Tribolium castaneum: one gene and its partner. The protein of the gene in region 1 purifies or fractionates together with the protein of each later gene. This does not show direct contact. Links are inferred from orthologs where the notes say so. Each region holds a gene or a part of one and is shown in the gene's direction. Other genes may lie near its edges. The genes, in order: ATP6AP2 and V-type proton ATPase catalytic subunit A.

Region 1 (4,352 bases):
CCATTCAGTTCAAGCAATGATTAATAAAACAAATAGGATTTGTTTGTTTCCTGAATAAAATACTCGAAACCATGCATATTATTTTTCGATAAAAAAGGTCAACAAAATACCCACCGGTGATGAATAGCGTAAGGTTAGGGTACCTTTTAACAATAACTGTTATGACCTTTATTGCAATAATTTACCAAATTCAAATCGTTCGACTTCAAGAAAAAATCTTCCACCTTGGTACGTATCACTATTCCCGCACCCCTCGCTGCAATTTTTTCTAGAAAACAATGCAAATCAAAACGACCGTAAACAACAGAGTCGAGAAGAGTTAGAGAACGACGATTTAGTAGTTGTATACAATCGAGTACCAAAGACTGGATCCACAAGCTTCATAGGCGTCGCTTACGACTTGTGTAAAAAGAATAAATTCCATGTTTTACACGTGAACATAACTGCCAATAATCACGTTTTATCGCTAAACAATCAACACGAATTCGTTCATAACGTCACCACCTGGAAGGCGATGAAACCGGGGATCTACCACGGCCACTTTGCCTTCATCGACTTCACGAAATTCGGGGGCCCTAAGCCCTTGTTCATCAACATTCTCCGAAAGCCCCTAGAGCGGTTCATTTCCTACTACTACTTTGTCAGATACGGGGACAACTACCGGCCCTATCTGGTGCGCCGCAAGCACGGCAACACCATGGTAAACCCCCATTTGGCGGCCACATAACGTAGTAAACGCCCAATTTACAGTCTTTCGACGAATGCGTTGAGAAAAACCTCCCTGACTGCGACCCCAACCACATGTGGCTCCAGATCCCCTTCTTGTGCGGGCACGCCGCCAACTGCTGGAAGCCCGGCAATAAGTGGGCCCTAACCGAGGCAAAGAAGAACTTAGTCAACAATTACCTCCTCGTGGGAGTAACGGACGAGATCAACGACTTTGTTGCCGTTTTAGAGCAAACCCTTCCACGGATATTCAAAGGCGCGTTCAACCACTACCTCACCAGCAACAAGTCGCACTTGAGGCAGACCGTTCAGAAGGACGCGCCTTCTCCGACCACCGTCAAGAAAATCCAAGAGAGCACAGTGTGGCAGATGGAAAACGAGCTCTACGAGTTCGCCTTGGACCAATTCCACTTTATTAAAAAACACACTCTTAAAGACAAACTACAGAACGTCATGTACGAGAAGATACGGCCCAAAATCAACTAACTCACGCCGCGAGATATTATTTTTCTATGTGCACGACTTAAACCGCTGTCTAATGTACTTATTTATAATAAATTGAGATTATTTAATCGTGCGTTTGAATTTGGCGCTTGCGCGCATGCGCACGTGCCGCTTCACCTGTCACAAGACTGTCATATGATTATGACATTTGGGTGGTGTGGTTAGTTTAATGTCATATGACTTCAAATTTCCAAAACTCTGAAAATTAGACCGAAAAATGATCGTTCCGTTAATTTGTGTCGCATTTCTGGGCGCCTCAGGTGAGAAATCGTCCAAACAATCAATTTTTCTAAATTCGTACAGTTTCCGCAAATGGTGAACTGACGATTCTTCACCACCCTCCAAGTCTGCTCTTCAAGGGACACGACCACGTCAAAGAGAGCATTTTGAAGGAGGTGTATTCGAGTGCTTTGGGTTTCTCGACTGAGCAGTACTCGAACTGGGATGGTTTGTACATTGAGGACCCCTTTAATTTGGCCAAGGCTGTGGTGACCGTCAGCGTTGACGGCACTTCGGACATTGGCAACGGCAAAGGGCACAATTTCCCGCTTAAAACGAACGTTGACGAATTTGATGTTTTCTCAGCTTTGGAAAGGCGGGTTTTGCAAAGGTATCCCGAAACTGAGGGTCATTTGGTGCGAATTAGCGCTGGTGATAGTTTGCATCAGGTATAAGGCGGACCTAGACCACAACCCCCTAATTAGTTACTTGCAGCTCCACAAGCATAAAGTTTTCAGAAATCTTAAACTCGACAAGTCGAAGAAAGTCCTAAACTATCTCAAAGCTAGCGTGGAGGAAGACCAAGCGTTTTTGAACGAAATTACAGTCTTGAACAGCATTGCAGACGAGGTCAGTTGTAGTTGTTTTGGTTGGCAATTATTTGACGTAAAATTATTGGATATGTGGCAAAAAGTTCATTTCTGACCAGATATTATTTCCTGTTGTCCGAATGAATTGAAATTTTATGTACTCACGTAAAATGCGTGACAAAGCAATTCTATATAGTTAATTACCCCCTAAATGGGGTGTTAAAGTGTTAGATTAGGTTAAAAAGAGCGCAAAATAATTGTTTTACAATGCAGTGACACTGCAACTCAGAGAAAAAGAGAAAAATGATTAGAATAAGTAGACTTAGGAGCAAAAAATAAATTAAAAATATACAAAAATAATGTTTTTCTATCAAAGGAAAATATTTTTGCTTACAGATTTAAGATTTTTAAATTTATACTGGTCAACTAAATTTATAACTAGACCGGATTTTTTGGATGTTAAAAACTTTATTTAGTTTACATTTTTTGTTAATTCCTCTTGCAGAAAAAAAAAACATAAATTTTCATGCAGTAAATTCCATTATAAAAACAAACAAAACAAAATACGTTTTGCAAAAAAACTTATAATTCTTTACTGCATAAAGATACAGCTATAAAGAAAGTAATTAATTGTTGACTTAAATAGTATTGTAAATTTGCTGTTTTATTTTACTGTAAAAATTTTTCAGTTCATTTTCTAGGTTGACATACTTATAAAATGAACTCAGAAAATTCATACTAATACTAGTTCTAATATCAGGCATTATCAATATTTTTTCATTCAATAAATATTTTTATTTTCAGTAGATTTCTATATCCAGATTTTTTTGTATAATTTGTCCACAACTTCTAGAATATTTTTTACAAAAATTTACATTATATTTACGCGTTCAATAGTTTTAACAAGCCTAATGTTTCTAATTTGTTATACTGTTTATTAAAATTTATAGTGAGAAGGTAAGTCATTTTTTTTAAAGTGACTTGACTAAAACAATGCTGTGCAAGGGCTCTTTAATCTTCAGAAGTAAAAAACAGTACAACCTTAAAAAATAATTTAATAATCAATAGTAAGAAATTGAAAAACTGGAATTATAAGAAAATGAAATATGGAAAAATTACTCTGAAATACTTAGAAAAATAAAAACTGTATGACTGAAATACTAAAAGAAACTATGAAATTGAAAGACTAGAAGCCTAAAAAATTAATAATTTTTGATGCAATTCTACAAAATTTTTAAGAAATTTAAAAATCAGATGTATTGTTTTTAGACTAAATCCTAATAAAAAAAATGCAAAAATATCCTATTTTGAATTAGAACACAATTTTAAGATGTTTAAATCACATTTAGGATACAAGTCAATTTAGGAATTTCGGTAAAATAAAAAAGGTGCGAAATATTTACACTTTTAACGAAACAAATTTATTCCGAGTTTCAAGAAAAGCTCTTAAAAAGATCGGGTGTCTTTACTCATAACTTATAAATTTTAGAATCCCAGCCTGTAAGCAAAAATTTTTTTTTTCATGGAAAAACACAGTTTTTTCTCTTTTTGAGTGTATTTTGTATACTTTTTTTTAGATTCAAAACTCAGGCTTACACTTGGATGGCACTCCCGATGTCTTTTGGTTCAAAATCGAAAGTCTGCACCCTTTGATCGACTTGTACGGCGAGAATTCGACCAAAGTTAAAGAAGCCAAACAGCTATTAAATGATGCAATCCTTCACTTGAATTCTGTTTTCACCAAAGTCTACAAGGACAAGGTTTTGGTCAGTGTCATAACAAGCGATGCTGTGCACACCAGACGTGCTAGAAACATTTTGCAAGAAAAGAAACCTGAACCCAAGGACACACAAGAGACCAAAGTAAAATAAGTAATAGTGATTTTTGTTTTTTTTTACTAATCGTTTTATAGGTGAACCCTGCCAAGTTTTACAGCAAGGATTATCCAGTTATTTTTAATATTATTCTGTGGTTTGGGGTCGCAATGACGTTTACTCTACTTGCTATTTGCATTGCAATTGCTCAAATGGATCCTGGACGGGACTCCATTATTTACAGGATGACGAGCACTCGTCTCAAGAAGGATAATTAAGTGGGAACGTTGAGTTCGGATAGTATTATTGTGTGTATATTCCTGTTAAATTTTCTGTAAAATACCATTCTAGATGTGTAAATTAGTGTAACTTATGTAATACTGTGATCACAGCTTCCTTGATTAAAGAAGGGACTTTCCCTTCACACGGCTGGTCGCATTGAACAAAAAAAGTGTTTCTAACAGCTTACTTTATTGTAGCGCCATCTCTTAGCTCCTTC
Region 2 (3,377 bases), on another chromosome or scaffold:
TTCAGACGTTGTTTTTTCCAATTTTTCCATAACGGCAAAGTAGATTTTAATTAATTGTAATGAGTAGAAATAGAACGATTTTTTAAAATTCACATTTTTATGAGGAAATTGTTTAAATAAATAACTAATTACATTATAGTTATTTAAGCCAAAATTAAAAAAAAATTGAAAAAACAATAATAATAGAGGCGAACAGACATCTGAAACTTTGGACACGTCGACTTAAATATTTTTTTACTCTAAACCGATACAAAAATTGTTCAAAGGAAATGAGTCTTTCTAATAAGTAAAATGTGTTAAATTGTTCTTAGGTAAGTACTTTATAATAATATAATAATAATAAAAGAGCCAGTATCAAAATATGTGGAATTGACAAAAATAAATAAATCTAATCTAAAAACAAAACAACAAAAAAAACTTTTAAACGTTATCACGATAATTGTGATTGTAGTTAAAATTTAATTTGCCATGAACTCGAGGTTTGTCAATGCAAAACTAATGGCTACCTAATTCGAATTATTTTAATTCTGGATTATATCTTAATTTCTCGTTCTGTATACGACCAGAAATGTTTGAAACTTAATTGAAAAGGTCAAATAGAGAATCAAGCTAAGAATAAATTTCACACAAACCAGCCATGGTGAGATTAATTACCCAAGCAAGTTCTGTATCTTGACAATAAGAGCTAATCAAAACTTTTTTGATTATTTTCGTGTTTAGCTAGAGAAAATATTTCGGAAATAGCTATTTTTGAGTTGTGATATTATTTGTGGAACTTTGAACGTTCAAATGTTTTTTAATTTTAATTATAATTAAAATTTAATTTAATTTAATATTTAATTTTAATTATAAAAAGCCACTACTTTTAATTATTTTTCATTTGGGGAAAAAATTAAAAATTATCATTACGCTACAGGAAGTCGTCTTGGAGACGGAATTCGACGGCGAGAGGACCAAATACACCATGTTGCAAGTGTGGCCTGTGCGTCAGCCCCGTCCTGTCAGCGAGAAATTGCCAGCCAATCACCCCCTATTAACCGGTCAACGCGTACTCGACTCACTTTTCCCGTAAGCCCCCTTTCAAAAACTAGTCCCTTTTCTCTACCAATTTTTATTTAGGTGCGTCCAAGGGGGTACCACCGCCATTCCCGGAGCTTTCGGTTGCGGTAAGACCGTAATCTCGCAATCTCTCTCCAAATATTCCAACTCTGACGTTATCATTTACGTCGGTTGCGGGGAGCGTGGTAACGAAATGTCTGAAGTATTGCGGGACTTCCCCGAACTGACAGTCGAAATCGAAGGCCAAACAGAGTCTATCATGAAACGTACCGCTCTTGTCGCCAACACCTCTAACATGCCTGTAGCCGCCCGTGAGGCTTCAATTTACACCGGTATTACACTGTCTGAGTATTTCCGTGATATGGGTTACAACGTGTCGATGATGGCCGATTCCACCTCGCGTTGGGCCGAAGCTTTGAGAGAAATTTCCGGTCGTTTGGCTGAAATGCCCGCCGATTCTGGATACCCCGCGTATTTGGGGGCCCGTTTGGCTTCGTTTTACGAGCGTGCAGGGCGTGTTAAATGCTTGGGTAACCCTGATCGTGAAGGTTCCGTTTCTATTGTCGGGGCCGTATCGCCCCCTGGTGGTGATTTCTCTGATCCCGTCACCTCAGCTACCTTGGGTATCGTACAAGTGTTCTGGGGGTTGGATAAAAAACTAGCCCAACGTAAACATTTCCCTTCGATCAATTGGCTGATTTCCTACTCTAAATACACGCGCGCTTTGGACGATTTCTACGATAAAAACTTCCAAGAGTTTGTCGCGTTGCGTACTAAGGTCAAGGAGATCTTGCAAGAAGAAGAAGACTTGTCCGAAATCGTGCAACTGGTCGGTAAAGCCTCCCTAGCCGAGACCGATAAAATCACTCTTGAGATTGCCAAGTTGCTTAAGGAAGATTTCTTGCAACAGAATTCGTACTCGTCGTACGATAGGTTCTGTCCGTTCTACAAGACGGTGGGTATGTTGAAAAATATGATCGGTTTGTACGATATGTCGCGACATGCTGTTGAAAGCACCGCGCAGTCTGAAAATAAAATCACGTGGACCGTGATCAGGGATTCCATGAGCAATATTTTGTACCAGTTGAGCAGTATGAAGTTCAAGGACCCAGTTAAAGACGGCGAGGCGAAAATCAAAGCCGATTTTGACCAGTTGTACGAGGATATTCAACAAGCCTTCAGGAACTTGGAGGATTAAATTAGTTTTATTGTAGGCCGTATATTTAACCTCACTATAAAATTGCCGTCTTTCGATATTAATGTACAATATGTTTATAAATGAATTAGTTCATAGGTCTAAGTCCTATAGATTAGAGGTGAGGGTAAATTGCTAAATTTCGTCCCTTCATTCCAGTTACTTTTAAGGAATTTTTATTTTCGTGTTTCCGTGCAATTATCAGCTTTCCAGTATTATCGGGACCTTTTTTTCTTTACATTTTATTTTTTCGTTATTTACGCATATTTCGATGTTGTATATTTTATCATGTTATTCAAACGGCTACTTGTACAGTTATCTGTGTTAATATTAAGTGAACTAGCTAGAAAATAGCACAATAAATTGTTTTATTGTAAACAGAAATAAAAGCATTGTTGTTTCATATGCGTTTTTATTAAGTCTTAATTTTAATGCTCTTGGAAACACTTGCTTTAATCCCGGAAAGCTCCCCACCATATCTCGTCATTTCGGTTCGCGGCTCACGAACCTAAAAATAGCGCAATTAAATTTAAGAAAAAATACTAAAAGTTGACATACAGCTCCTCTCCTTCGTATTTTTGCTTTTCTAAACTTGTTCCTATGCTTCACTCTTGGATTTCTTTGTTCCTTCTTTCTGTGCGGCGTGAGACCCTTATTTTTGGCAATCTGGTAAGTTATAGCCCTCTTGCCAGGATCTACAACAAAACATGACTAAAAAATCGCAACAAACAAAAATCAAACCATTCTCGGGAACATTTGCCTCTTCGTCTTGCATTTGCTGTTCATTATCTGTTGCTTCTTTTTCGTCCACTTCTGGTTTAAATTGGACTTTTTTCCCTGCTGGTTTCTTGTCTTTCTTTTCCGTTTTGTTAACCAATGTGCTCAACACCTTTAATGTTTTTTTCGGAACTTCTTTTTCTTCTTCATTCAAGAGTAACTCAATTTGGGGCTTAATCACCTCTTCGAAAACTGGCGTCATTTGTGATAACAGTTGTCTGTATTGGTACAAACGTTTTATGATTGGGTGGTTTTGCACGTTAACTCTTGAGGCTTTCAACAGTAAATACATGTTGATGTTAACGCAATAACTACAATTTTGTGAATTAGGAAAAATAAAATAGAA

The links.
Region 2: the proteins of ATP6AP2 (region 1) and V-type proton ATPase catalytic subunit A purify together in Homo sapiens (co-immunoprecipitation; 3 studies listed by BioGRID and IntAct, with this or other methods). This does not show direct contact. The link is inferred for Tribolium castaneum from reciprocal best matches to the Homo sapiens genes ATP6AP2 and ATP6V1A.

Annotation. Positions count from the first base shown.
Region 1 is NC_087398.1:10,554,980-10,559,331, forward strand, and holds the start of ATP6AP2 (ATPase H(+)-transporting accessory protein 2), read left to right. Parts: upstream 1-1,332; 5' UTR 1,333-1,447; coding exon 1,448-1,490; intron 1,491-1,533; coding exon 1,534-1,898; intron 1,899-1,944; coding exon 1,945-2,079; intron 2,080-3,616; coding exon 3,617-3,901; intron 3,902-3,951; coding exon 3,952-4,131; 3' UTR 4,132-4,352. Other genes in the region: Hs2st (heparin sulfate O-sulfotransferase), read left to right, coding at 120-228, 273-700, 751-1,212. UniProt on the Homo sapiens protein: Multifunctional protein which functions as a renin, prorenin cellular receptor and is involved in the assembly of the lysosomal proton-transporting V-type ATPase (V-ATPase) and the acidification of the endo-lysosomal system.
Region 2 is NC_087402.1:9,102,418-9,105,794, forward strand, and holds the end of V-type proton ATPase catalytic subunit A, read left to right. Parts: intron 1-916; coding exon 917-1,068; intron 1,069-1,119; coding exon 1,120-2,257; 3' UTR 2,258-2,657; downstream 2,658-3,377. Other genes in the region: Sas10 (something about silencing protein 10), read right to left, coding at 2,670-2,762, 2,813-2,949, 2,996-3,342. UniProt on the Homo sapiens protein: Catalytic subunit of the V1 complex of vacuolar(H+)-ATPase (V-ATPase), a multisubunit enzyme composed of a peripheral complex (V1) that hydrolyzes ATP and a membrane integral complex (V0) that translocates protons.